4 linked regions of the Schizosaccharomyces pombe genome follow. Changing the gene in region 2 together with the main gene of any one other region gives a genetic interaction. Each region holds a gene or a part of one and is shown on either strand. Other genes may lie near its edges.

What was found.
Region 1: mutations in atp15 (region 2) and gmh2 together harm fitness more than expected from each alone (negative genetic interaction), as found in Schizosaccharomyces pombe (one large-scale study listed by BioGRID).
Region 3: mutations in atp15 (region 2) and plb3 together harm fitness more than expected from each alone (negative genetic interaction), as found in Schizosaccharomyces pombe (one large-scale study listed by BioGRID).
Region 4: mutations in atp15 (region 2) and wwm3 together harm fitness more than expected from each alone (negative genetic interaction), as found in Schizosaccharomyces pombe (one large-scale study listed by BioGRID).

The regions. Positions count from the first base shown.
Region 1 is NC_003424.3:164,961-171,716, forward strand, and holds gmh2 (alpha-1,2-galactosyltransferase Gmh2), read right to left. Parts: upstream 5,096-6,756; 5' UTR 4,891-5,095; coding exon 3,850-4,890; 3' UTR 2,806-3,849; downstream 1-2,805. Other genes in the region: alpha-1,2-galactosyltransferase Gmh1, read left to right, coding at 1-757; alpha-1,3-galactosyltransferase Otg1, read right to left, coding at 1,460-2,575; ATP-dependent chromatin remodeller/ubiquitin-protein ligase E3 Rad8, read right to left, coding at 6,012-6,756.
Region 2 is NC_003423.3:3,782,284-3,787,260, forward strand, and holds atp15 (F0-ATPase epsilon subunit Atp15), read right to left. Parts: upstream 2,220-4,977; 5' UTR 2,180-2,219; coding exon 2,151-2,179; intron 2,079-2,150; coding exon 1,904-2,078; 3' UTR 1,573-1,903; downstream 1-1,572. Other genes in the region: histone chaperone Hip3, read right to left, coding at 1-387; bch1 (ChAPs family protein), read left to right, coding at 3,565-3,596, 3,646-3,772, 3,918-4,977. UniProt on the Schizosaccharomyces pombe protein: Mitochondrial membrane ATP synthase (F(1)F(0) ATP synthase or Complex V) produces ATP from ADP in the presence of a proton gradient across the membrane which is generated by electron transport complexes of the respiratory chain.
Region 3 is NC_003424.3:1,067,900-1,074,769, forward strand, and holds plb3 (lysophospholipase Plb3), read right to left. Parts: upstream 4,464-6,870; 5' UTR 4,229-4,463; coding exon 2,240-4,228; 3' UTR 2,024-2,239; downstream 1-2,023. Other genes in the region: transcription coactivator Rqt4, read right to left, coding at 1-553; wdr55 (WD repeat-containing protein), read left to right, coding at 832-1,917; SPOM_SPAC1A6.11 (uncharacterized protein), read left to right, coding at 5,635-5,955.
Region 4 is NC_003423.3:199,116-205,129, reverse strand, and holds wwm3 (protein wwm3), read right to left. Parts: upstream 2,850-6,014; 5' UTR 2,595-2,849; coding exon 2,163-2,594; 3' UTR 1,507-2,162; downstream 1-1,506. Other genes in the region: protein wwm2, read right to left, coding at 1-481; fructose-1,6-bisphosphatase Fbp1, read left to right, coding at 5,988-6,014.

The sequences.
Region 1 (6,756 bases), on a different chromosome or scaffold from region 2:
TCTCAATGAACCAAAATCACATGAAATAGTAATGCTTCTTGCTAGCGATGGAAACGTTGGAAGTTTTGAATCTAACTTACTAGATGATTGCTTTAAAAATCGTATAGAGTATGCGAAACTTCAAAACTACAATTTTGAATTCGTTAACGTTTCCAGTCTGGTAGTGCCACCTGTATGGGGAAAGATGCCCGCAATTCTACAAACAATGCGCAAGTATCCATCCGCAAAATGGATCTGGTGGCTAGATCAGGATGCTCTTATAATGAACAAAAATCTGTCCTTACAGGAATTATTTCTCTCACCTGCAATGCTCCAAAAATCATTGCTTAGGGAGCAACCAATTATAAACTCTTTCGGAGAAGATAATTTCAGAATCACTCCAGCGGCTTACTCCAAGGAAATGATAGAACAAATACAATTTCTAATTTCTCAGGATCATAACGGATTGAATGCAGGAAGCTTTTTAGTACGAAATTCAAGATCCATCGCTTTACTAATGGATTTATTGACTGATCCTTCTTTGGCAGATGCAGGAGTCGTGCGTCATGAACAAGATTTGATCGGCTATTTCATTCAAAAACACTCGCAGGTAGCTTCCATGGTTGGCATTCTTCCTCAAAGATTTATCAATGCTTTTCATGAAGGACCCCCTACAATGCAATGGCAAGAAGGAGATCTAGCTCTTCATTTCGCTGGATGTTGGGTTGAAAACAAATGCGCCGAGTTATGGACTAAATACAAAGATAAAATAATTTAAAAGGCTAAATCAATGCCCAAGTGTCGGCGCGTTATAGCCTCTAACATTTTCAATTGCATTTACAGTTAATTTATTATTACTATTTATCTTTTACTTCGTTATATTAATGCCGTCTTATTTAAACATAAATGATTCGCTCCATAAATAATTATGAAGCTGCACATTTTTACAAATCTAATTAATTTTCTTAAAAAAGAATAAATTCTATAAAATGCTTCAAAAACAACCCTCTAGACATAAAGTATCTTTTTCTAAAAAATATTAATGTCTAACACTAATTAAACTATCCTGTTTGGACCTCAGGCTAGTTTAAGCATCAAAAATTGCTAAACGCTTGTGATAATAATTAAAATTGGGGTTTGTTCATAAGGTCTAATGAGTCCATAATGAAGGAGAGATGAGAGGTATATTAAAATCAACCGCAAGTCCAAAATTATATTCTAAAAATAGGCTGACCGAAAGCAAATCACCGCTAACGGGATTTATAGACAGACGCAGGTAATAAAGTTGTATACATAGCCAGCAATCAAAGAAAGCTGAAGAGATCTAAACAATGTGCGTTTAGACAATAAGGATAGCAAGTCTAAAATAAAATTATGGTAATAAGTTAAAGAAATTTTCAAATATATAACATACAATTAGATTTTAACTTCTAATTGTAAAATAAGGTCACAATACAGAAAAAAGAAAGGTATTCCTCCTTTAATGAGTTTCATACTTATGAAAAGACAGCATTTCGCCATAAGCAGCATACCAGTCAGCTAAATATACTGGTGCAAATTCTGAGCTACCAATATTCCAGAATTTTCCGTGTGCTGTTTTTAAGAGAGGACGTTCGTCAATTGAGGGCCACACGCCATTGTAATAAGGATCAAGACGAGTCCAGGGAAACCATCCGTCCAAGGAAAATGCAAGATTCAACAAGCTTTGCTCCATCATTTTGGCATTCTCATACATATAAGGAAACCTTCCGATTTTAAGTATACGGTTAAAATGAAGCTCGCTTGGACGTATAAGCATTAAGCCAGCATTGAAATAAGGAGTATCTTCTGGAGGTATACTATGATGCTCTCCTCTATCAGAGACGGCTGCGAGAAGATAAGGGTAAAATTCGCTTCGACTGGCACCATATTCTTTAAAATCCTCATTGAAGTGATAGACGGTATCATCATCAGGCTTCGTGTAGGAAGGTAGCCGTGTATAGTTCAAGGTATTAATTTGTTGGTACATATAAGGAGTATCAAATATATCATCAATGTTCTTCATGATCAATATATCACTGTCAATTACGCAAATTTTGTCAAATTGTATTTGTTCGAAAATTCGCAACTTCGAAAACATTTGTTCATATCTAGCAGATATTTCTTGACTAAATGAGGATGTATCGTATACAATATCCGATGAAGCAATGGGGTCTATAACAATCACAGAAGCACCATCCTTTCGAAAACGTTCAATTTTCCACTCATCTACTCCACGGAGTGCAAGGATATGGATAGGGTATTTACTTTTGGTAGTAGGATGATATTTCAATCGGTGAATTAAAACCCTAGTAGCGTTGAAGTAGTAATCCTCTTCAGTAGAAGGCATAGTAAACAAACTCATATACGTATATTTGCCAGGCTCTTCTTTTAAGACGGCATTATCATTTTCCTCAACAAAGTTGTTTTTTAATGAAGTAAGCCGGTCATTAAGGGTTTGCTTATAATCGTGTCCGTTAAACACTAAGGTTGTCATCACAATAATCAAAACCACAGAAAACAACAGGAATTTGTAACGCGGAAGAGATAAAAAATTTGAAAGTGAAATTCGAGACATGATAAGAGATTAATTCAACGAACCGCTGAAACAATAGAATTTGAGACACGTGAAATTTTCGAAAGCCTTAAAAAAATGAAAAAAGGCTCTAAAGATGACTCCCTTTATGAGGATGTTACCCTCTAAAATTTATTTATTTCTTTTACCCTTAAACGACTTGCGTTAACAACCCTTTAAAGAAAAAATATCCGAGATTTATGTTTCATCACGCGGGTTGCTCTGCATTTGTCAATTTATTACCAGCACGTTGTTTGTACCATGTGCCGCGCTATATTCAGTTACAGTATTGTAATTCAAATTGTGGAATTGCCTTTTACAAATCCTAACGCTTTGTTTTTTCACAATCATCTTAGTTTGTGTGTAATGGTGTCAACTTTCGAGCTATCTGGATGTTGAAAATTATGAGCTTAAGCATGTAATAGAAATTGACACTAATGAATTAATTTGGTGAAGTTGTTTCAAACAGTGAAAAATCTGACTGTTAGCTGGAAAAGTATTGGAAATACCATTTAGCTTATTGGTAAAGTAAATATTGTGTAAATTTAACGAAATATATTTTGTCGATAAATCTATTCAAATATTCTTTCTCCTTGACCTGATAGACCTCATTAATCGGAAAATGCTTCTAGGTTTGTAAAGACACAAGTGTAAACAGTGGGTGCACAGACGTAATGGAACCACCGTTAAAAAATACATCTTTTAGACTTAGCAACTAATCTATATCTTTATAAGGCCAAAAGCCAGTGTAATCAATATAAAATAAGGACATACCAATACTTTGTAGGGCCAAAAAACAAGATAAATAAAAACTTAGTATAATCCGACACGAATGATTCAATAAAACTTCTATCAGCATTTAACAGAAAATGGCAGCTGCGGTGAAATGCAAATTATTAAAAAGATTTATTAACGCCAAACTGTTATTCCAATCTTCAATATTGCATTGGTAAATTGCCAAAGCAAATTAGTTGAACCAACAGAAACAGCTTCAAAGTCAATGTGAAATATATACAATATATAACAATTATTGATGGACGATTGTGTAAAACAAAACTCCCAGATATCTCGCTATAAAAAACTAACCTGAAACTTTGATTGCTATGGCACAACCGCTATATTAATTAGGTATGTAAAGATTAAAAAATAGTAAACATTATTAGAGATTCAGATAAAGAAAGGAAGATTGACGGAAAATTATACGGCGCTTTGTTTATATATATAAAATTTTTTAAAACACAAACAAATTAAACAGACGGATATAATGAATAAGCAACTTAGTCAATCAAGGCGTAAAACTTTTGCCATAGTTCATCGCAGCGGTTTTCAACCCAACATCCAGCAAAGTGAATTACCAAATCACCTTTTTGCCATTCCATATTTTCCGGACCTTCGTGAAAAGCATTTATTTTTCTTTGAGGAATAAGGCCAACCAGCGAAGCAAGTTGTGAATGCTTAGAAATCAAATATCCAAGCATGTCTTGTTCATTATTGGCTTTCGCACATTCTGCAACAACAGGATCTGTCCAAATATCCAAAAACAAGGCAGTAGCAGGTGAATTACGGAACAAGATACTACCTGCGTTTAATCCATTGTGATCCTGTGAGATTATGACCATGAGATTTTCGATATCTTTTAAACTATAATTACTTGGTGTATAACGCAAATCCCCGTTAGCATTTATAGGCCGTTTAGTGAGGATGGTATTAGTAATTAAGGTCTTTTGCAAGTTCTCAGGTTTCAAAAAGGAGTCTTGAAGGGAAAGATGGGTATTAGTAATAATTGCATCCTGATCCAACAACCAGATCCATTCCGCTTTGGGGTATTTCTTCATAGTTTGTAAGACGGCGGGCATCTTGGACCAAACGGCGGGAATAGGGAGGCCAGTAACATTGACATACTCAAAGTTGTAGTTTTGTTTGGTACTATAGTCAACTCTGTTCTGTATAGCTTCTTCAAACGTATTAGCTCCATTATTGTAAGAAGTGTGTCCATCACTAACTAGTAATAAGACAATATTTTGACTGGCAGGATTTTGCTGAGGCTCTGACTCGTATGACGCCTCGTGGAATGTAGTGCTTGTGGCCACCAAATGAGAGTCTAACGGCGCCAACTCAAACGAGTGATTAACGGATGGAGTGCCAATAGCATCGGAGAGCATGGGTGCAATTTGCTGATCATACAACTGGTTAACCTTCGACACCAAATCAACGTCCACAAAATATATCAACGAGTATAGAAACGCGCCAGCAATCAAGCCGACCGTTAAAAATAAGAAAAAAAAACGACGTGGAATCCTGGATAACATAAGTGCCATCTTTAGGTTATAACAATTCTTCAGTAAATCAATTAGAAATAATGAAACAATAACTGGAAAACTTTTTTTGAAAAAAAGGCTTTTCCGAAATCTTAAACAACCACTAAATCAGATTGTATTAAGGTCTTATCGAAACGACCTATAAAATAACGAACGAAATCTCGAGATATAAAAATAAATCAAAGGGTTAGAGGTATATGCTGATGGTAAAAAAAAGCTTCCTGATTGTCTTAATGAGGCTGAATACGCGTTAAGCTTCCTTTGACTAGCTATCGTTAATTTTTTAAAGGCTTTGTTAAATATTTTATTAACGTCGGCTCCTTTGCCGATGGTAGAGACAACCGTAACCTTGCCTAAATTTTTATAACCCAGCAACCGGCACGTTACTTGCTTATAAAACTTTCTACGGGTAGCTATTAGAAAAATGAAATTTATGGAATGAAAACTTAGCTAAAATATTCGGATTTAATTTTGTGTCACTGATTTCATCAAAATATCTTGACCTTATTAAACAACTACTTCGACTTTTCAACAAAGAGAGAGGCTGACCAATATAGTTGAATTATACACATCGCTTTCTTTCTGTGACCGGATTTCCATCACAATCGCTACTACTATTTAACAAGGTTAACAATAATAAAAAAATCGAATAAAAGTTAACAATTATACCTATCTCTAATATACTGAACAAAACATTAGCCAGCCTTTACACTGCAGCAGCTAAAACTTATATTCCCTTGCCCATGATACTCAGCAACAACATCATGAATACAAAAAAGTAAGTCATCCAAGGAAATTTATGAGTTCAAAAAATGGAATAAAGTATTACACATTCACTACTTTAGATTGTATAGCTCCAGGGTAAACTGTCGTTCCTTAATACTTTTGTTACTTATGCACCGAATTCGACTATTTCGCATTCATTAGTGATAGACGTGAATCAACAAATCCAAGGGGTGTAGATAGTTTATAATTTATCTTGTAACGCAGTTTGTTTATCACATACTCTCTTAGAATTTGACAGTCATGACAACGACCACGGTAGCAATTGCATTTCATATGCATAATATGAAAATACTTTTTTTTTACGATAGCTTTTAATCGGCTTGGTGAAACCGTTGTTAATATTCAAACAACATTTTGATGTCTTCAATTGACTGAACCTGCTGCTTTCCTTCCGACATGCCCAGGGTCCCAGTAATAAAATTTTTGCGTTCTTGTATTTTGAGCATCCTTTCCTCAACAGTATCACGTACAATATATCTCGTCACAAATACAGGCTTTTCCTGTCCTAAACGATGAATACGATCGATGGCCTGTGCTTCCACTGACCAGCTCCACCATGGATCCATAATAAAAACATGGTTGGCACAAGTAAGGTTTAAACCAACCCCGCCTGCCTTTAAAGAGATAATCAGCACGTTAACATCAGGATCATTTCGAAATGTCTCTAAAGCCGTCGACCTCATTTGTTGTGACATGGTACCATCGAATCTAGCATACCCCATCTTCTCTGACTCGAGAACGTCTGCGATAATATCCAGGAATGTGGTAAACTGTGAAAAGATAACGACCTTTTCAGGTTCAGAACTATGAGTTAATTGACGCAATTGTCCTAAAAGGCCATTAAGTTTCACTGATTGTAGCCTATTCCAATATTTCCATTTTACTTCCTCACCGACTAAAAGCGTAGACTGTGTTCCGTTATTTTTGACAAAAAAAGGTTTATAGACATCTTGCTCATTGAAGGGTTGACGACATGTATGACAAAGCGGAGGAATTATGTTTCTTCTTTTTTGATACTGAATATGTTCTGACAAACAATCTCCGCAACAAGCATGCTTGCAGTTCAATAACAAGGGATTT
Region 2 (4,977 bases):
GTCATTGTAATCGCAAGCCAATGCAATAGCAAAATCGAGCAGGGCGTCCCGATACACAGGGATGGGATCGGTTGAAGGATCTAAGGATAATAAAGATTGTAGCTTTGACAGCAAAAACAAACCATGATTTTTTCTAGTGAGGTAATGTAGTAGCAATAAAGCATTATTTTTTTTATAATTAGAATTAACGGTAAAAGGGAGTTCGCGAAGAATTCGAACATTCAATAGCTCATCGTAATACTTTGTAGCAGCATTGTCATCTCCCTGCTTCTGGGCTGAAAGTGCATTTTGATATATTTGAACAGCTTCTTCAATTCGGATTTCTAAAGTGCGTTTTTCCTTATCCAGATCTTCACTGGCCGCATTTAGAGGAGTAAACGTTGCCATAACCTTAATATGAGACTTCCAAATTGATCACTGTATAAAACTGTAACCAGAAATTGAAAAAAGTATGTAGATAAGATGTTAAAGTTGTAGATAAAGGAAGCGATGTATTACAAAAAGCGTCAAACAACTGTGGTTTTCAATACTATACTCCGCAAAAGCATTGAGCAATAAGCCTGCATTGGAAGATCAAGCTATTGAGCGTCCTAAATTCAGATTTCAGCTCTCTACACACCTTCAAAAAGCAAAGATAATTAAAATAAGTGCTAATAACAAAAAAAAAATTAAAAACTCCCAACGCAAACAAAACCTCAGGAAATCAATCAGTGCGTTTACAGATGTTTATATTAAGTCATAAAATCGGTATGAATTCACTAATTCCCAAGGCAATTTAAGGCTGGTTCTTTAATGTTTTGATGCACTGAACAAACTTTTGAACTTGGGTGACGACTACTTTTTTAAGTAGGAACAGATTATGAATTGCAATCAAAAGCAAACTTTTATAGTTTTAAGGGATGTTTATCATAAGGATATTGTTTTGTAACTCTTCTCTTACTACAGACTTTATCAAAGTAGTTTAGTAATTTCTTTGATGTCGTTAAGAAAGCGTAAGTGGTGACTTTTGTCTTTGCTGTGTAACGTATTTAGTTCGTGGTTTTCAAAAAGAAGAGTGTGTTGATTTTCTGCATCGTTAATACCGCACGTTGCCTTCGACTACAAACGCCAACATAGACAGGTGCAGACAGGTCTCAAACACGTCTTTAGTGGCATATCTAGAGACCCAAGTAGTCACTAAATAGCGAAGTTAAACGATACACTATATCCTTGCAAGAAGAGAAAGAGTACAAGGCATCAAGTGGAGTTTGTTTTGAATGTAATGCGATTTCGTATGTATACCCTGTTTCTTTCATTCGGGCTCTAAAATTGTATTCATACAATTAAAAATTTTTTAATGGGTGAGTTTGCATGATTGTTTGAAAACAGTAGAACAAGCAATTTTGTTCGACGTTGAAGCCATTTTTTAGAAACTAGATAACGATACAAACAATTAAGAACATAGTATTGTAGTAAGTTTACTGTGTAATGCGACTATAAATGATCTCGGTAGTAGCAAAAACAAAAACTACGTTAATGAATGATATTAGTGACAAAACTCACTTACTTCTAAATTAGCTACATCTCATTATAGTAAAATCAACAATTTTTGGTTTTGAGACAAAGGCCGATTATAGATTTGATCGAAAATACAGAGCAACCACAATGATTTGAAGTGCCATTCTCAACAGTTTTAAGAAAACAGAGCAAACTACCTTGTTCTATTAAACTTCATCATTAAAAAAAGTAATAAAAATTTATTGAAAGGATCAGTTAGTAATTCAACGTTAAGTCGAATATAGTAATCATTATAAGAGATTGTAAACCATCAGTGATATCTGTTGAAATGAGTGAAACATCAAATGAAGCTGAAATATTACCAATGGGTAATGAAGGACAAAAAATTCGTTTGTAGCCTTTATTTTCATTCCTTATCAGCAGACTTTGCCGAATTGTAAGACTCCGTTTTTTCCTGAGCGCCATTTTTCCATCGAGTATAAAGGAACTCTGCATCACCATGAGTTTTAACCTCGTTTTTAATTTCCGGTTTTAAGGCTTGACGAACAGTTTGGGAACAAATAGAAGCATATTTGCTATAACTACAAATATTCATTCATTAGTAAAACTATCAGGGTATATTTAATGTTCACATTCAAGAAATGAATCCATACCTAAAGTTTTTCTTCCAAGCAAAAGCCATTTTCTCAATGAATTGCTAAATCGTACAGAGATGGGGGAACGGTAACTTAAAATCCATGACACTCTCTTGAAACCCCGTTCGGTAAGGGTCGGACACATTTATTGAGTTCAATATGTACATTCGTTAATCTAACATTGGTAACGTGCTTTTCTTAGTAAAATATAGCGCAGTTTGATTAAAATGACTTTGGTGATGCTAACGATTCATCGCTATACAGATTGCCTTTTTATTAATCAACACTATTCAGTAAATAAATATTCAAAAGGCCGTATTAATTTGAATTGACAAATGAATATATACCTCTCATCAGTCAAAAGGCTGGTTATTTTCGCTACTAACCATAATTTATTAGAAGGACAAAGCGGTACCAAAGCCTTAATTGTTTACTAGCTGGGCAAGTGAAAGTAATTCAATACATTCGCAAGAAAACTGAACTTAAGCACTGTTACGTTTCTCACTTTGTTTAATCTTAACACTTATCGTAGTTAATTTAAAAATGTCAGTTAAAACAAGCAATGTATACTAGCACTCTCCATTGATTGTATTTAGTCAAATTAGCTTTCTTGATGAGCGTTAACATGAATGGCTTAAGCATAAATTTCGATTCTTTCTTTGTAGAATTTTGCACTATTAAATAACGTATTCGCACATGTTATTTGGTTTTAGGATATTTTAAACAAACAATGGTTCATTGCAAGAGACATCTATCAAAATGTATGGCTAGATGAAACAAAAAATTTCTTGTCAAGGAGATATATAATGCAAAAATCAATAACTCCTGATTCTACTTTTAGACGTTTCATTAAAGGTTCGTTAAAGATTTCGAAATTCGGAAAAAAATTCACAGCAACTTACATTCGCAATTGCTTGGAAGTATTGTATTAATTTATCATATGCTTACCAGCGTATTGTGCGAGTTTTTTAAAGCTAACATTGTGCGTATGACTGGTCTAACTTTTAGTGGAAACTAACATAAAGCTGTTCTTTTTTTTAATACTAATTGCGTTGGATTCCGCACCAACAAGAAATTTTTATTTCAATTGTATTAATCAATGAGTTGTAATCTTAAGAAAAAATTATCGCTACACTATTCGTTGGGTACTACTTTTGACTTCCCTAAATCATCAATTGTCAGGATGAATGAAGATACAAATCAAAATGTATAATATTCAATTATTTTTTGGTTTTCAAATACACTAAATGCATAATTTAATGATATTTATTTATTCTTTATATATAAGGAAATTGTGGACGATTGCCTAATTGTCGCTTGCTACACTTCGTTACAGCAAGTCAGGCTGCGGCTACACCATAACCTCTTAACTGGAACCAGCCACGAGGCCGAATTGAACGCTGCTTTGCATATTAATTCCAATTTATGATATATGAGTGATTCATTCTTTAAGGATATACCAGAGTAAGTTCCTTAAATATAATTGAGCTGAAGTTCTAAACAATGACGATAGGTTTTTAGAAACTCGTGTAAACGAGTCATTAGATGCGCGTTCTAAATCCATCGCACAATTTAAAGAACTCGGGCCTCCTGATCAGGTCAATACTATAAAAGTTAATGCAAAAAATCCATCAAAAGAGGTATGTCACTTTTTAAAGCAGCGAAAGCTGTAGTGTTAATGATGTTGGAGATTAGTGGGGAAAGGATCAAGACAAGTCTCTCTTTACCAAACTTTTCACTCCTATTGAAACGTTAACGTTTTACGTATTATTAACCTCGTCAAAGGTTGGAACTTATCACTTTGTATCTGGAGTTGATGCTTCTTCCTCAGCTTCACTAGCGGCATATTTAAATACGCTTTCCTATTCTCTTGATAAAAGTCAACAATGGTTTGGGAAGGGAAACGCTTGGCGTGTTAGTCACGGAGTTTACTGTTGCTACAATGTCTTCTCTCAAGTTGATGTTCGTGTGGAAGCTAAAATTCCTGGAGGTGTTGACACATATGCTATTGATGAGAATGGGCAAAAGCATATTGTCGATGCTCGTATGTGGACAGAAGCATATATGTCTGAAGTCCTTCGTTCGTTACTTTATTCTGATGATACAAATTCTCGCTTTGCAGGACATCGTCGTTTTAACCCCATTCCAAATCCTGATGCAGAATTAAGATTTTTTGAGGCTGCCGAACAGCTTTTTACGTTAGGTTATACTCTAGGGTCTTCTTCTGAAGTTCGGGTACCTACGCATGTAAATAATCATTTGGTTCGTGGAATTTTCGCTTACTTGAAGCAAACCTGCCGCTACAGTGCTGCTCTAAATCTTTTTGAAAAGCTCCGGGTGTCAATTCCAGAGGTATCGGTTTTGCTTGCTGAACTATACTTACTAATGGACCATGAAGTGCATGCTGTTCGTATCTTGCATGATTCATTGCTAAAACAAAGAATGTCCGCTAGTTTGCTTATTGTTCAAGTTAAGTTTCTGATTTCAAAAGAGCGCTATGACCTTGCACTTATCTGTGCTAAGCGCGCCGTTCATGCTTCTCCATCAGAATTTGCAACTTGGGCATGTTTGGCTGATGTATACTTGCATTTGGAGGATTTTAAATCAGCGTTGTTAGCTCTAAACTCCTGTCCCATGTATACTTACTATGAAAGAGATGCTTATCCTTTGCCTCCTAGTGCTCGTGCTCATTTACCATTTCCTGTCAATTTTCCTAAAGAAGAACTGGAAGTTGAAAATAATGCGCAGAACGGTTATACAGTTTCTACCGAAATTACCGATCCTTACTTAGCTCGCCTACCATCTCCCAGTCTTCGTGGTACATTTGCGAAGGCATATGAAATGC
Region 3 (6,870 bases), on a different chromosome or scaffold from region 2:
GAGATATCTCTATTTGACGTATAGCTTTTTCGATGTCGGCGAGACCTTCAATTCTGTTAGAAGAAGAGTTATTATGTTTTACACTTTTCTTTTCCGGAATAAGGTCAGAAGTCATTACGCCTGGAGAGACATTTTTCGTAGTTTTGCTAGATTTTTCATGTGATGAAATATTGTTTGATTGTGATTTATTCCTCGAAGCAGGATTGACTTTATACATTTCTTCATCATATCCTTTTTGCTTATTGTTAGCGATATAGAAACTTGGATGAGAAGATGTGGCAGTATTTTTTTGCCGAATATTATTATTTGGTGTCACATTCTTCTTGTTTTTCATGATCGATGGAGAATTACCAGAATGCGTAGAGTGAAATCTTTTTTGATTGAAGTCACTAATGAATTCTATAGTCTCAGCAGAATCCCCCAGTAAAGAAATCCAATAATCTTTTGCGGCTTCGGAAGAATCGACTGCTAAAGCAGTGCTTGTTATCATTGCGGCACTCTCATCGTCGACTGGCAAAATTTTCAGTACGTTCTCCTTCGTCCATTTTTCCATGTCTAACTTTCTAAAAGAATTCGTAGTTTAACGATTTCGAATAAAGTCTTTGAATAAAGAATCCCCAAGTAAAAAATACTATTGAATTATTTAAATGAGTTCAAGAAGTTCGTACAAATAAAATTTTATATGCTTTATGTAAATTTTCCAAAACAATATCAAGTTGGTAGTGTAATAGTATTCGCGATTCTAGGGTATGCAAATTTGCTACAGGGCAATGGGTGCTGAGAGGTGGATTGCCCAGCTCTAATCACAGCCTACTTGTCCTAAACAACCTAATGGGTGGAACAATAAATGCTGCTATAAAACAAAAATTTGAAAATGAAATATTCGACTTAGCTTGTTTCGGTGAAAATCAAGTGTTACTGGGTTTTTCAAACGGCAGAGTTAGTAGCTATCAATATGATGTCGCACAAATAAGTTTGGTCGAGCAATGGAGTACCAAAAGACATAAAAAAAGCTGCAGAAATATTTCAGTAAATGAATCAGGTACCGAATTCATTTCTGTAGGTTCAGATGGTGTTTTAAAAATCGCCGATACCTCAACGGGGAGAGTGAGTTCAAAATGGATAGTGGATAAGAATAAGGAGATTTCTCCTTATAGTGTGGTTCAATGGATTGAGAATGATATGGTCTTTGCTACAGGTGATGATAATGGTTGTGTTTCTGTTTGGGATAAGCGCACCGAGGGAGGCATTATCCATACCCATAATGATCATATTGACTATATATCTTCTATTAGCCCATTTGAAGAACGATACTTCGTTGCTACTAGTGGTGATGGAGTTTTGTCAGTAATCGATGCTCGTAATTTCAAAAAACCAATATTGAGTGAAGAACAAGACGAAGAAATGACCTGTGGAGCTTTTACACGGGATCAGCATTCAAAAAAGAAATTTGCTGTTGGTACTGCCAGTGGAGTTATAACTTTATTTACAAAGGGTGATTGGGGGGATCATACCGATCGCATTTTATCGCCAATTCGGTCCCATGATTTTTCAATAGAAACAATAACTCGTGCTGATTCTGACAGTCTGTATGTTGGCGGAAGCGACGGATGTATACGTTTGTTACACATTCTTCCAAACAAATACGAAAGAATTATAGGGCAACACTCTTCGCGATCAACCGTAGACGCTGTGGATGTTACTACCGAAGGCAATTTTTTAGTTTCCTGTAGTGGAACCGAACTAGCTTTCTGGCCGGTTGATCAGAAGGAAGGAGATGAGTCATCCTCCTCTGATAATTTAGATAGTGATGAAGATTCCAGCAGCGACTCTGAATTCTCGAGTCCTAAGAAAAAGAAAAAGGTGGGAAATCAAGGGAAAAAGCCTTTAGGAACTGACTTTTTTGACGGTTTATAATTCAAAACAGCTTTGATATCTATAAAATTGCACAATCATTATTAAAATTAATTGTCTGTATATTTAAAAATAAAAGCGATCTTCCTAAATTAACTAAACTAAACATCTTCATTAGAGAAAAGAAACATTGTGCTTCGAAAACTTAAAATGAATTCACTAACACTAACACTAAAACTACAAAACCTTTGAACCCCACAAGTTTGGTAGTGATTAATACCTTACAATTAATAAATAAAAGCCTGACTCAGTCTATGCTTTTTAATTCTTTCAAGTCGAAAAGTGACTCATACCAAGGTGTGTGAGTGGGGGAGGCTTTCGTCGTCTATAATAGTAACGAAACTGTTAGAAGCGAAGCAAATAAATAAAATACTATAGGTTTGGCTCGTACAGAAGAGGTACCAGAAGTGGTTGATGCAGATAACACAGTAGGAGCATAGTTTGAAACGGCACTAGGGTTGTTCACGGTTGTTCCATTCCAGCAGTATTGTTCAAAACAAGAAGAGCATTGACTAGGAGTAGACATATTTTTGCGCTCCAAGGAACGTTGTATCATGGCGCATGCCAAACAGACTGCAAATGAATCGCTGTTGTTTTGAGTAGCCGATAGAGCAGCATTTTCAAGAATGCCACTGGACAAAGTGTCATTCATAGACATGGTAAACGTGGAAATATTGGAATAGTAAACCCAAGGATAATTGGGGAAATAAACAAGAAGAGGAGGTGTATTGTTATCTACGGTATGATTACCTGCAGTAGTGTTTCTGCCGTCACATCCAAAGAATGTTGGATGAGTGTTCAGTCCCAAGGAAATGATTGTGTCCTCATCAGGGATATACGGGAAACCTCGAACATCAACACTTTTATTGGCGTTATAAGTTATAATCCTTTCATATGTAGTAACAATAGAAGAGCCATCAGGCCAACCATTAGAATCATCATAAGTTGCGTCAACAGCAAATATAACGTCAACAAATCTTTGAGGATGTAACAAAGGCCAAATAGGAATGTTCTCATCGTCTTCACCACCATCTACTAAATCAATAGTATCGAATCGCTCAAAAGGGTTTTTGACGGTGGTGTTTGTAGTCGTGAAATTCTGATAAGGATTGGGGTAAGGAGCGATGTCATTTTGATCCTCAGAAAGTTTTTCAAATACTTTATGAATAATATCATAGAGAGTACTATTTGACGTTACTTCCTGACTCCATTCTAACAGAAACGTGTTGAACAATGTAGCTGAAGTACCCATAACAAAACCGGCATTATCATAGTTACGAATGCACTTATGGTCTGGTGGAACACCATTCTTTAAATGGGTACCGACGTATTCCATAGGGAGAAAAGCTTTAATACCATTGTCCCAAGTACCAAACTCGTATGGAGTAAATTCGAATATACTGGTGTTGGCAGGGATAGCTTTTTCCTCTTCCAAACGACTGTCAGATATAATGATGGGATAAGGATAGTCGGCATTTTGGAACCAAGTTTGGTTTCTAATGCTAGAAAATGTGATATTTGGACCACCTTGGGTAGCATCGACAAGCTTACGAGATAAAGCGCGTCCCCAAAGATCGGTCAAAGAAGTATCGAATCCTGCATCTTTCTTTTGATCAATCTCATCATCCAGGTCGTCATAATAAGCAAGATTTTCGACAACATTGTCACCATGAGGAGCAAAGACACTATGTTCCAAATTCCAAACGTTGTCACGTAGATAAGTAATATTGGCAAAGTTATTAACAGCTACGGAACCGACCAGCCATGAACCACCAGAAAGACCAGCGATATACATGGCGGATTGAAGAATTCCAGCAAGTGAAGAACCATTGCCATTTCGAGAATCGAAAGCATTTAAAACACCTCCTCCGTGGACCATAGCGCGGAGTCCACCGCCAGAAAATGCAAGTCCTAAACGAGGGCCATCTGAATCATTAATCACAGAGTTTACATCTACGTCCAAACCAGTGTTGGAAATAAAGGACCTCATTTGTGTATTGATTTTGGGGATACGTTTATCAATGAAACTTTGCTCGCCTGAACTTATTCCGTCAGAAGCAGGTCGTAGCATATAGTCACTAGGACAAGTTACATTATAAGGCGCGTATGATCCAACACTGTCGCGCTTGGAAAGCGAAATCGCCAAAGCCTCTCGTTTTTGCATTAATGAAAGAGGCGTGTCATGCATGCCCGGTCTCATTAAGTCAGATTCCCCAAACTCATACGGATCCGACATTTGCTCGCGACAAGGCGGGTACGCCAAGGCCGGCAGGATCTGGAGCAGAGCGAGTATTCCAAAACAATTAAATAACATTGTCTTTTTTTTTTATAGTTAAACCGTCTTTAGGTCAATAAATTTGGGAAATTATGCCAAAATCTACACACCGCTTTGCTTGAACTCAGAGATTAGAAGGCCGTTACAAAAACGCGCTCAAAACAAACGATGGAATCAACGACTGTCTCTCTAGACCCACAAAAGTTTAGAAAATTGACTATACCCTCAAACAATTTTCTTGTGAACGAAAACAACACAACAACGGAATATTTGTAAACGGATGGTGAAACAAATTAAACCAAAAGCGCCCTACTACGTAAAAATTTTAAAACTCCTTATAGCTGAAATTCACCCGTATTCCAACGCAGCTCTTACTGTATCACTGTATCTGCTTACCGTGCTGTTATTTCTGCTCCGGTATATGAGGATCTGATTATTGTAATTTGTGTCTAAATAAATGACAAGTTAGTATCCAAAGTTATTGATTTTTATTAAAAAGCATAGCGTCTCAATGTTAAGATAAACACTGGATTTTGCTCTTGAATTTGGCGAAACGCTTGACAATTCCATGGTTTATAAAATTTTCTGTTTGCGGTATTGCGGAATCAAATGCGAAACCATTTACCATTTCTGTTCATCGGCAAACGTCGCATCGTAACCGAAAACCTGGGATTCATCTGCTTTATGTTTCATACAAATGACTTGCAGTTTTGCAATTTCATTCAACAAATTCATGAATTCCTATTCTTTTTCTTTTATTCCAATTAAATACAAGCTCATGCCTAGTCTCCAAGCAAATCCCCCCTTACACTTTCTTACCCTAAAAGTTAGTAGTAGCTAAAGTAGCGACTTGTGCGATAATTTTAATATTGGGAAAAGGCAAGTTGAAAGTGATTCAGCCTATATATATATGTATATATATGTAAGCAGAGACACATATGTCTATCTTTGACAGATTTTTTAGATTCCCATTTTGTAGATCAAAAAAGGTCCATTTACATCCCCATGATGTAAATGCCCTTCCGTTCTATGCGAAAAGAGACCGAGACTGTCGGTCCTTTAAATATCGCTTAATATGTAAAGTTGTTGTGTAAATCTATATTTTGAGCAGTCGCTGAGACGCAAGCCTTTACGTTGAATTTGTTGCTCATCTTCTGGTCAACTATGACTGCTTTAAAGTTCACATTGGGATGAATGTTGCTAAGCTATATATCTAAAATCCTTAACGACGGAAACATTTGCAGGTTAAGTATAGGAGAATGTAGCGTTCAACCGGGCTGGTTATTTCAACTGCGCCGCCCTCGGATATTAAGTGTGCCTCTTCGAAACCGGACCTTTCTAAGGAACTTGCAGATTGTCCTTGACTATTATTTAACACACATTACTGGCATCAAATTAGTCGCATTACATTACAACTGGCCGCATTTTACATAATTGATTAAAATATGAATCACAATGTTTATTTATTAACTTCCTTCAATCTTTGGAGTCATGGTGTATATAAAATATCATCAATCTCTCTCAGTAACTCTTTTTTTCCTCATAGTTTCATGTTTGTAAAGTCGCTACATCTAATGACATCACAACATATCTTCAAGTGTCTTTCTTCTTGTAATTATGCTCTTTCAATTCTACATAATATATGTTTAGCCAGTTTTCTTTATTTATCAAAATGTTATTATCATACACACATACTTACTTCTGTTCGATTAGATTTTTGTAAATCGCATGCGCATACCTATATCAAAAGCAAAGCCTCAACTTAAAGTTAACTCGGATCCCATTTCGTTTAGACTTAAAGCATAAAATGCACACTTGCTAAATAATTTTGCAAAACACGTAACTCACAGTCATCGGATTAGAAAGTAAAGCCCGAGGCCGAGCAAAACCCGCGCAACTACTACAATTTTTTTCTCCCATTACTCGTTGTGATGTATTCTATACTGTCTCATCTACATCCCCACTACTTCATTGATTAAATTGCGTACAGTTGATATAATTTGTAAATGATCGTATAATCTGTTTTACGTTAACTAAATTTTTTCATTTCTACATCTCCTTCCTCATCCTAATTAATGAATTATAGGCTGTATGTTAAAGTTCACTATTCCTTGTTCAAGTATAGCAAACCTTTAAAAATCAAATTTTATCATACAAAATATATACATATAAATAATAATTTTTTGAATCAAACAAAACAAAAAAATTACAGTCAACTTATTTATATAGACAAACAACATTCTTATTACAACCAAGAATTAAAAAAATGACTTATTTTCGCAACTATATATAACAGCAACTCTCATAAACAACTAGAACACGTCCAATTTGGAGCCGTCAACAAAACTGAATTACAGCAAACGAAAGCTCACAATAGAAAATGAACAAAAAACATTCCGAAGAGAGGGTAAATTAGAATAAAATACTTTCGGAAGATAACAAAATAGTCTCCCTAATTAGAGCGGAGTGAACGTTCAGTTTAATAATCCGTTAACAAAAACCCATATCGCGTAATTGGATTGATTCACATATATGGCTAGGTTTGATTTATGCTAAGACAGCAGACATTGTATAGATTTTTTTTAAAAACTTTTTTCCAGGCATAAGCATTGCCCTCTATCTTTTGCTTGTGAGCAACAGATATGTCGTATAAATACTGAAGAGAGAAAAGTTTGCATGCG
Region 4 (6,014 bases), 3.6 Mb from region 2:
CAGCGACAGGAGCAACGTAGCTTGGTCTACTGTAAGAGTTGCCAGTGGTGTAGCCATTAGAAGAGGTAAGCCCACTGAACAGCCCTTTATCACTACCATCTGCATTGGTAGTGGTAGTGGCAGCAGCATTAGGATAGTATGCAGCATTGGTATTGGCAGGGGCATTGGGGTTATATGCAGCGCTGGTAGTAGCGGCAGCATTGGTAGTCGTGGCAGTGTTAGCATTGGCATTTGCAGCAGTATTAGCATTGTATGCAGCATTCGTATTCGCAGCAGAAGTATTGTTATTGTTATTATACACAGCTGTATTAACGCTTGTGGCTCCTGGAGGAGGAGCAAGTTTCAGATTTTCGACTGGTGGTTCCCATTGGGGCTGTGGATTTTGAGCTGACTCGTTAACATAAAAGTATGTTCCATATTCAGCATCCCATTGAGCAACCCATCCACTGGGCAAACCTTCACGAGTTTGATAGACAGACATTTTTTATATGATTAATTCTGTAAAGACACAGAGTAAAAACCTATATAAACGATATAGAGGCTTAGAAAGATTCTAACCAAAGAAAAGAAAAATGTTATAGGCAGATATTCAAAAATCACTCTCTAAGATCTATATACTTAATTTTTCGAGTATTAAAGATAGAAAGTTTTGGTGGTAAGCTGTATCTGTTAGGGAAAAGGAGAAATCGCGCAGTGGTATAGAACGATTATAAAAGAAATGAAAATCTGATACGCTACAGATCATTACATAAGAGGCTGATGTAGTGGTAGTAGCATTATGCAAATTTCGTTATTTTACTATATCGTGATTGCCCCAAACCATAATTCGTCATTCCTAGTTTACGAATTTACGAGTTCCATTAAAGTGGTATTAACGTGTTTTTAAAAGTACTTCACTAATTATCGAAAGCTGTTCATGGAAAATAGACTGCCAATTTGTTTTATTCAAACTCAGAATATCAGGGTTTCACTAATGCTGCTTGACTTGAAACATAGCTAATTGAAAAAGGAAAATTGCTCTTATTACCCTTTTTAATCGCCGGCTTTGCTTAAAAACAAACGGTTTTGCATTGCTATGAAAACCCTCGACATTCATTTGATAATTGCCAGGTACAAATTTACGTATCCTTACTGAATAATCGTAATATGAACAAATAAATGTTGTACCGTAGATAATATTTCTTAATTTTGAAATATATTAACTTTTCTTATTTCATTATGTGTATCCAAGAGCCAAGTTATATTTCTCTTATTTTAAACAGCTTGATAAATACAGGTTTTAAACGATTCAAATGATATCTGTTTGTCTTTTAAAATAGTGGTATGACATCCCATAAGTGTAAAAAAAATTTTTTTTCTTTCTGCCTTAATTTTTTCGGAATTGTGCATTTAATCCAAAACCAAACAAATATCTGAGTTTGCCAATTATATAGTCAGTAATACACCACTATAAACTATTCAACTAAAATACCCAAAAAAAAAGGACAACTAGTAATGAAAAAACAATGATAATAATAAATGAAAGATATATAATTGACTATTTTAAATCATGCATAATAAACTAATTTAACGTCTGAAAAAACAACCATTGATTTTTTAAAAGTTTCAAAAATTGTGCTTCACCCAATTTTTTACAATTAACCAAAAAAAAATATAAATAAATAAGTAAATACACGTCGAAGTGATAAATGCCAAAAAAATGATTCCATCGACAACCAACTCCGTCGATATTCACACCCATTATAATATATGCTCCTTACTTCTTTGGTATTAAACAGAAATTTTATAAATTAGACCGTTTTCCTCGAAATCCCAATAAAGAATGCAATGGTACAATAAATAAGGAAGCTTGAAACAAGTAAAGATCAGATGATAACAAAATTAATATAAGTAAACAAGAAATTAGGTCAAAGAACGACTAACAGAATATAACAATTTTAGAACGATTAGCAAAAATAGTATGAAATTTCAAGGGAATAAAAAGAACTTCACTGGATATCGTGTTTTCCATTTAACAATTTCGAAAGAGTCGTATACGTGAATTTGGTGATTCTATTCAAAGGAGAAAGTGATGTTCTCAAAAAAAAAGAGCGATTCCATAATCAACGACCATAGTATGTAGGACGAAATCGGAACCAAATTTAAATAAAAATCAACGCTTTTCATCTGCGGCCACGTCCACCACGTCCACCCATGCGTCCACCACCGCGGCCGCCGAAACCACCGTGAGGACCATGAAGTGGGCCATGATGGCCACCACCGATTCTTGGACCAAACAAAGGGCCTCTGGGAGGAGGAGGGGCGTAGTAAGCACGGTGACCACGAAGAACACTGCCGGCTAAAGCTCCAACCATGAAACCTCCTAATCCAGCCGTCATAGACCGTGAGCCGTCAGAAGAGCGAGGCACGTCCTTTTGATAGACGACGGTAGTGGTACCGGGAGGAGGAGGAATATGCAAGCCTGGAATAGGAGGCTCCCACTGTGGTTGAGCACCTTCAAACGTTTCATTAATGTAAAAGTAAGCTTGATAAGTTGGATCCCATTGGGCGACCCAACCAGCTGGCAAGCCCTTGTAAGTTTGATAAACAGACATCTTTCGATAAAGTAATTAATGAGAAACTGTAACTTAGAAAAAAAGAAGTAGTGAGAAGTAGAGTATGTCTGTTAAGAATTATTAATAGACAGGCACAAATGTCAAAAGAAAAAAAGAATTAGCAGCGAAGTAGAAACGGTATGTATAACAAGAAAGAATTTATGATCTCGTTATAGTAAGAATGAAGAAAAGATTAGAATAACGAATGCTTTGAAAATGAAGCAAGTAAAAAAAATGATTGATTGAAATTAGATTGACGAAAAGGTGAGGAAAACTCGCAAATAAATAAAGCTTTGCATTAGGACATAGCCGACGGACAATACGTCACTTTTGTGGGGAAATGATGAGTTATTGCGTAGTTGTAGTGTGGAAGCGAGTGCGATTTGAACTCTTTTTCTTCCATCGGAATAGAAAACATATGAGCGGGGCCGAAAGCTGCCGCAATCTATTTTGCGATTGTGTACCCGATATCCTAACAGCAAAGCAGTGAATTGGAAGATGAATTTACTACAATATCTGTAGTGTCTTTTAGTTACATTCAGAAAAGAAATTGATACGAAAATGTGCACGCTAAAAGCTCAAACCCATGTATACTTATGATCTTCCAATTGTACAAATTATTGCTATTTTCGCTAGTCTATAGATCGATCAGCCATTGACGTCAGCGCTCGTTTAGTATTTGAAAACAAACGCCAAGTTAGGTGTTTGTTTATTAATGTGTTTCTTTGGGTATATGAGTGTATGAAAATTCGACTCAAGCTCCTGTTAACACTTGATCTTTCTTTTGAATCGCGAATAGCATTGACTCCGATATCTCGGTTCAATTTTTTTGAGTAAATAGTAAACGTACGTTTCATAAAACTAACTTTAACAAAAAATTATCTACTTAGTGAATTAGTTCTCACTTGGATAAATACTTGTTTTTGTCAAGCTTTTAGCATGGTCAATTGATATCAAAAGGAACTCACTCCAAAAAAAATCGACCCCACTTGGGTCCATGAACCTCTCTTGTCTTGCATCTCTCAAGGACTGGATGGATGTGGGGGTTCGGGGAATCAAGAGTTTTCAATGGAGTAAGTGCAATCAAATAAATCAAAGCGACAAAGGATTAGAGCGAGGAGACGAGAAAAGATGGAAATACAATGAGTAAATTCGTATTAAAATTGATATCGTTTTAACGAAGGAAAAGAGAAAGTTACTCTACGTAGGTTTGCAAAAAAAAAATATATAAATGTAGATGTAGATGTAAAATTAATGTTAATGAGAAATTTGAAATTAAGGAAGCATAAATAGTATGGAGACATTATAGTTAATATGGACGATGAGTTAAAAGGAATAATTGGTTTAAGTGAAGCTAAAGAAAAATAAAAATAAAAAAATAAAAAGATGTCATTTAATATTAAATTTAAAAAAGACAACACACACATAAGAACTATTCAATAAAATAAAATAAACACAGTACAATAAAATAAAATAAATAACGATCTAACGAAACAGGAAAAAAAAAAAAAAATAATATATTACAAACAAAAAACAATCTCAAAAAGCTATCTTATAATTTGAGTATCCTAACCATAATATTTATTAACTCATATGTAAGTTTATCTTGGTAGAAGCTTTACCTTTAAGAATTGACTTCATTCCTACTCGCATCGCATTTGTTGCTTCTATTTTAGAGATAAAAGCTCTTTTAATTGAACTTATGCTTTTACCAACACGGCACGTGAATCAAGTTAGAATAATAGTCTAAATGTCCACAAAGGGTGGTTTCTCGTTCTATGAATAAATATAGTAGTAGCTTAGTGAAAATTCCACGGGACATTAGTTTATATAAGAATAAAAGTGAATGTATGAAAATTACATGTGAAGAATAAATTTGTGGTAAAATACACGTCTTTTAAAATATAGCTAATAGCACACATATTTTGAAGCATGCTTTATATCCTGCTCTTTCAATGCAAGGTTATTATCCCATTCTGAAGCCACATACCATCAACCCACGAAAAATCTCGTTAAATAAACAACACCAAATTTCCTTATTGCTAATAGGAAGGGCGGGATGAAAACAATCAACCTCAAAAATTTCTCCCTCTCTTTAATTACCTGGATGACCAGTCATTATAGAACGAATTTATTTTCTCCACTTCTTTCTATATCTTAAGGTTCATTTCTCCTCCTACTAACTACTCCATCCACCCACCCACCTTTAGCACTTCCCAATCATCTACGTCACAAAGCATTAGTACTCATCATCGAATTTCACAATTTCTGATTTTCGTTGCTGCATTCCAGCACACTACACTGCGCCATTTAGCTGTATAAGCCATGTTATGTTGATTCTGAGTTAACACAGGTAAGAAGACACATAAAGCCCACTTTAAACTTGAACTTGTATTCGTGTGCTCTAAAACGTACAACACTATACCAAAGCAGCACGAGAAAACAAGTTCAAGTTTAAAGAGACATAATAACACCTACAGCTACACAATGGCGATCAATCATACACAATTGCTAGACATCAAATCATAGGCAATTGGGGTCGATCTTATGTAATTGCTGTGGGTATGCAATTGAGGTCGGTGATGAAAGCAGCGGTCATGCTCGCCTCTCAATCCTTTACGAATGTATTAAGGGAGTGCCATGCCATGCCATGCCATTTTCTCAGTCACGTAAACCTCGATACGATACAAGCTCTAACCTTCCCATCCCGTATTTACGTTTTTGCAGTATTATAGGAAAGATGAATAGGGTGGAATGAGTCCGCTCTAGCAATCGTTTGGTAAGCCGGCTTCGTTGAATTGCAGTATGTCATTTGTTTAGCAGGCTGAAACAGCATTGCCCTGTAGTTTTCATTGCAAGCCCCTCGTTTTTTGAAGATTAGGTTTATCGTGTATGCATTTTTAATTAAGCGGATCACTCAGGTGGGCGTATGAAATAGGGATTTGCCATAGTTGTCCATTCAACTAAAGATTAGATTGTTAAAAGGCTTATGATTCGCGGAACTAAACATAGCGAATACTTCATATGCTGGCAAAACGTTGTTTACATGGGAAATACATGGCGCTTCCATCATGGCTCGTTGATTTTTGTAAATATATAAATAGTGGCGGGCAGCAGTCAAGGTGAAACGTTTGTTAGGATTTTTTTTGTTTACACTGGAGAGAGACAACACAACTCATTATTAATTTTTTCATCTTCGTCTCTCTCGTCTCTTATTATATCATCTCATCTCACCACTCGGTTTCTAGCCCAACTTAACTCAGCTCAACTCAGTTCTACTTAGAACCGATTTGCTCCTCTTTCTTAAAAACTTACTTCAGCTAGGATTCACCTGGCCAGCTTATTCAACTTCATTCCCCGTTTCTTGTTGATTCAGGTTTCGTTTACTCCATCATGAAAAAAGATCTCGACGAAATCGAC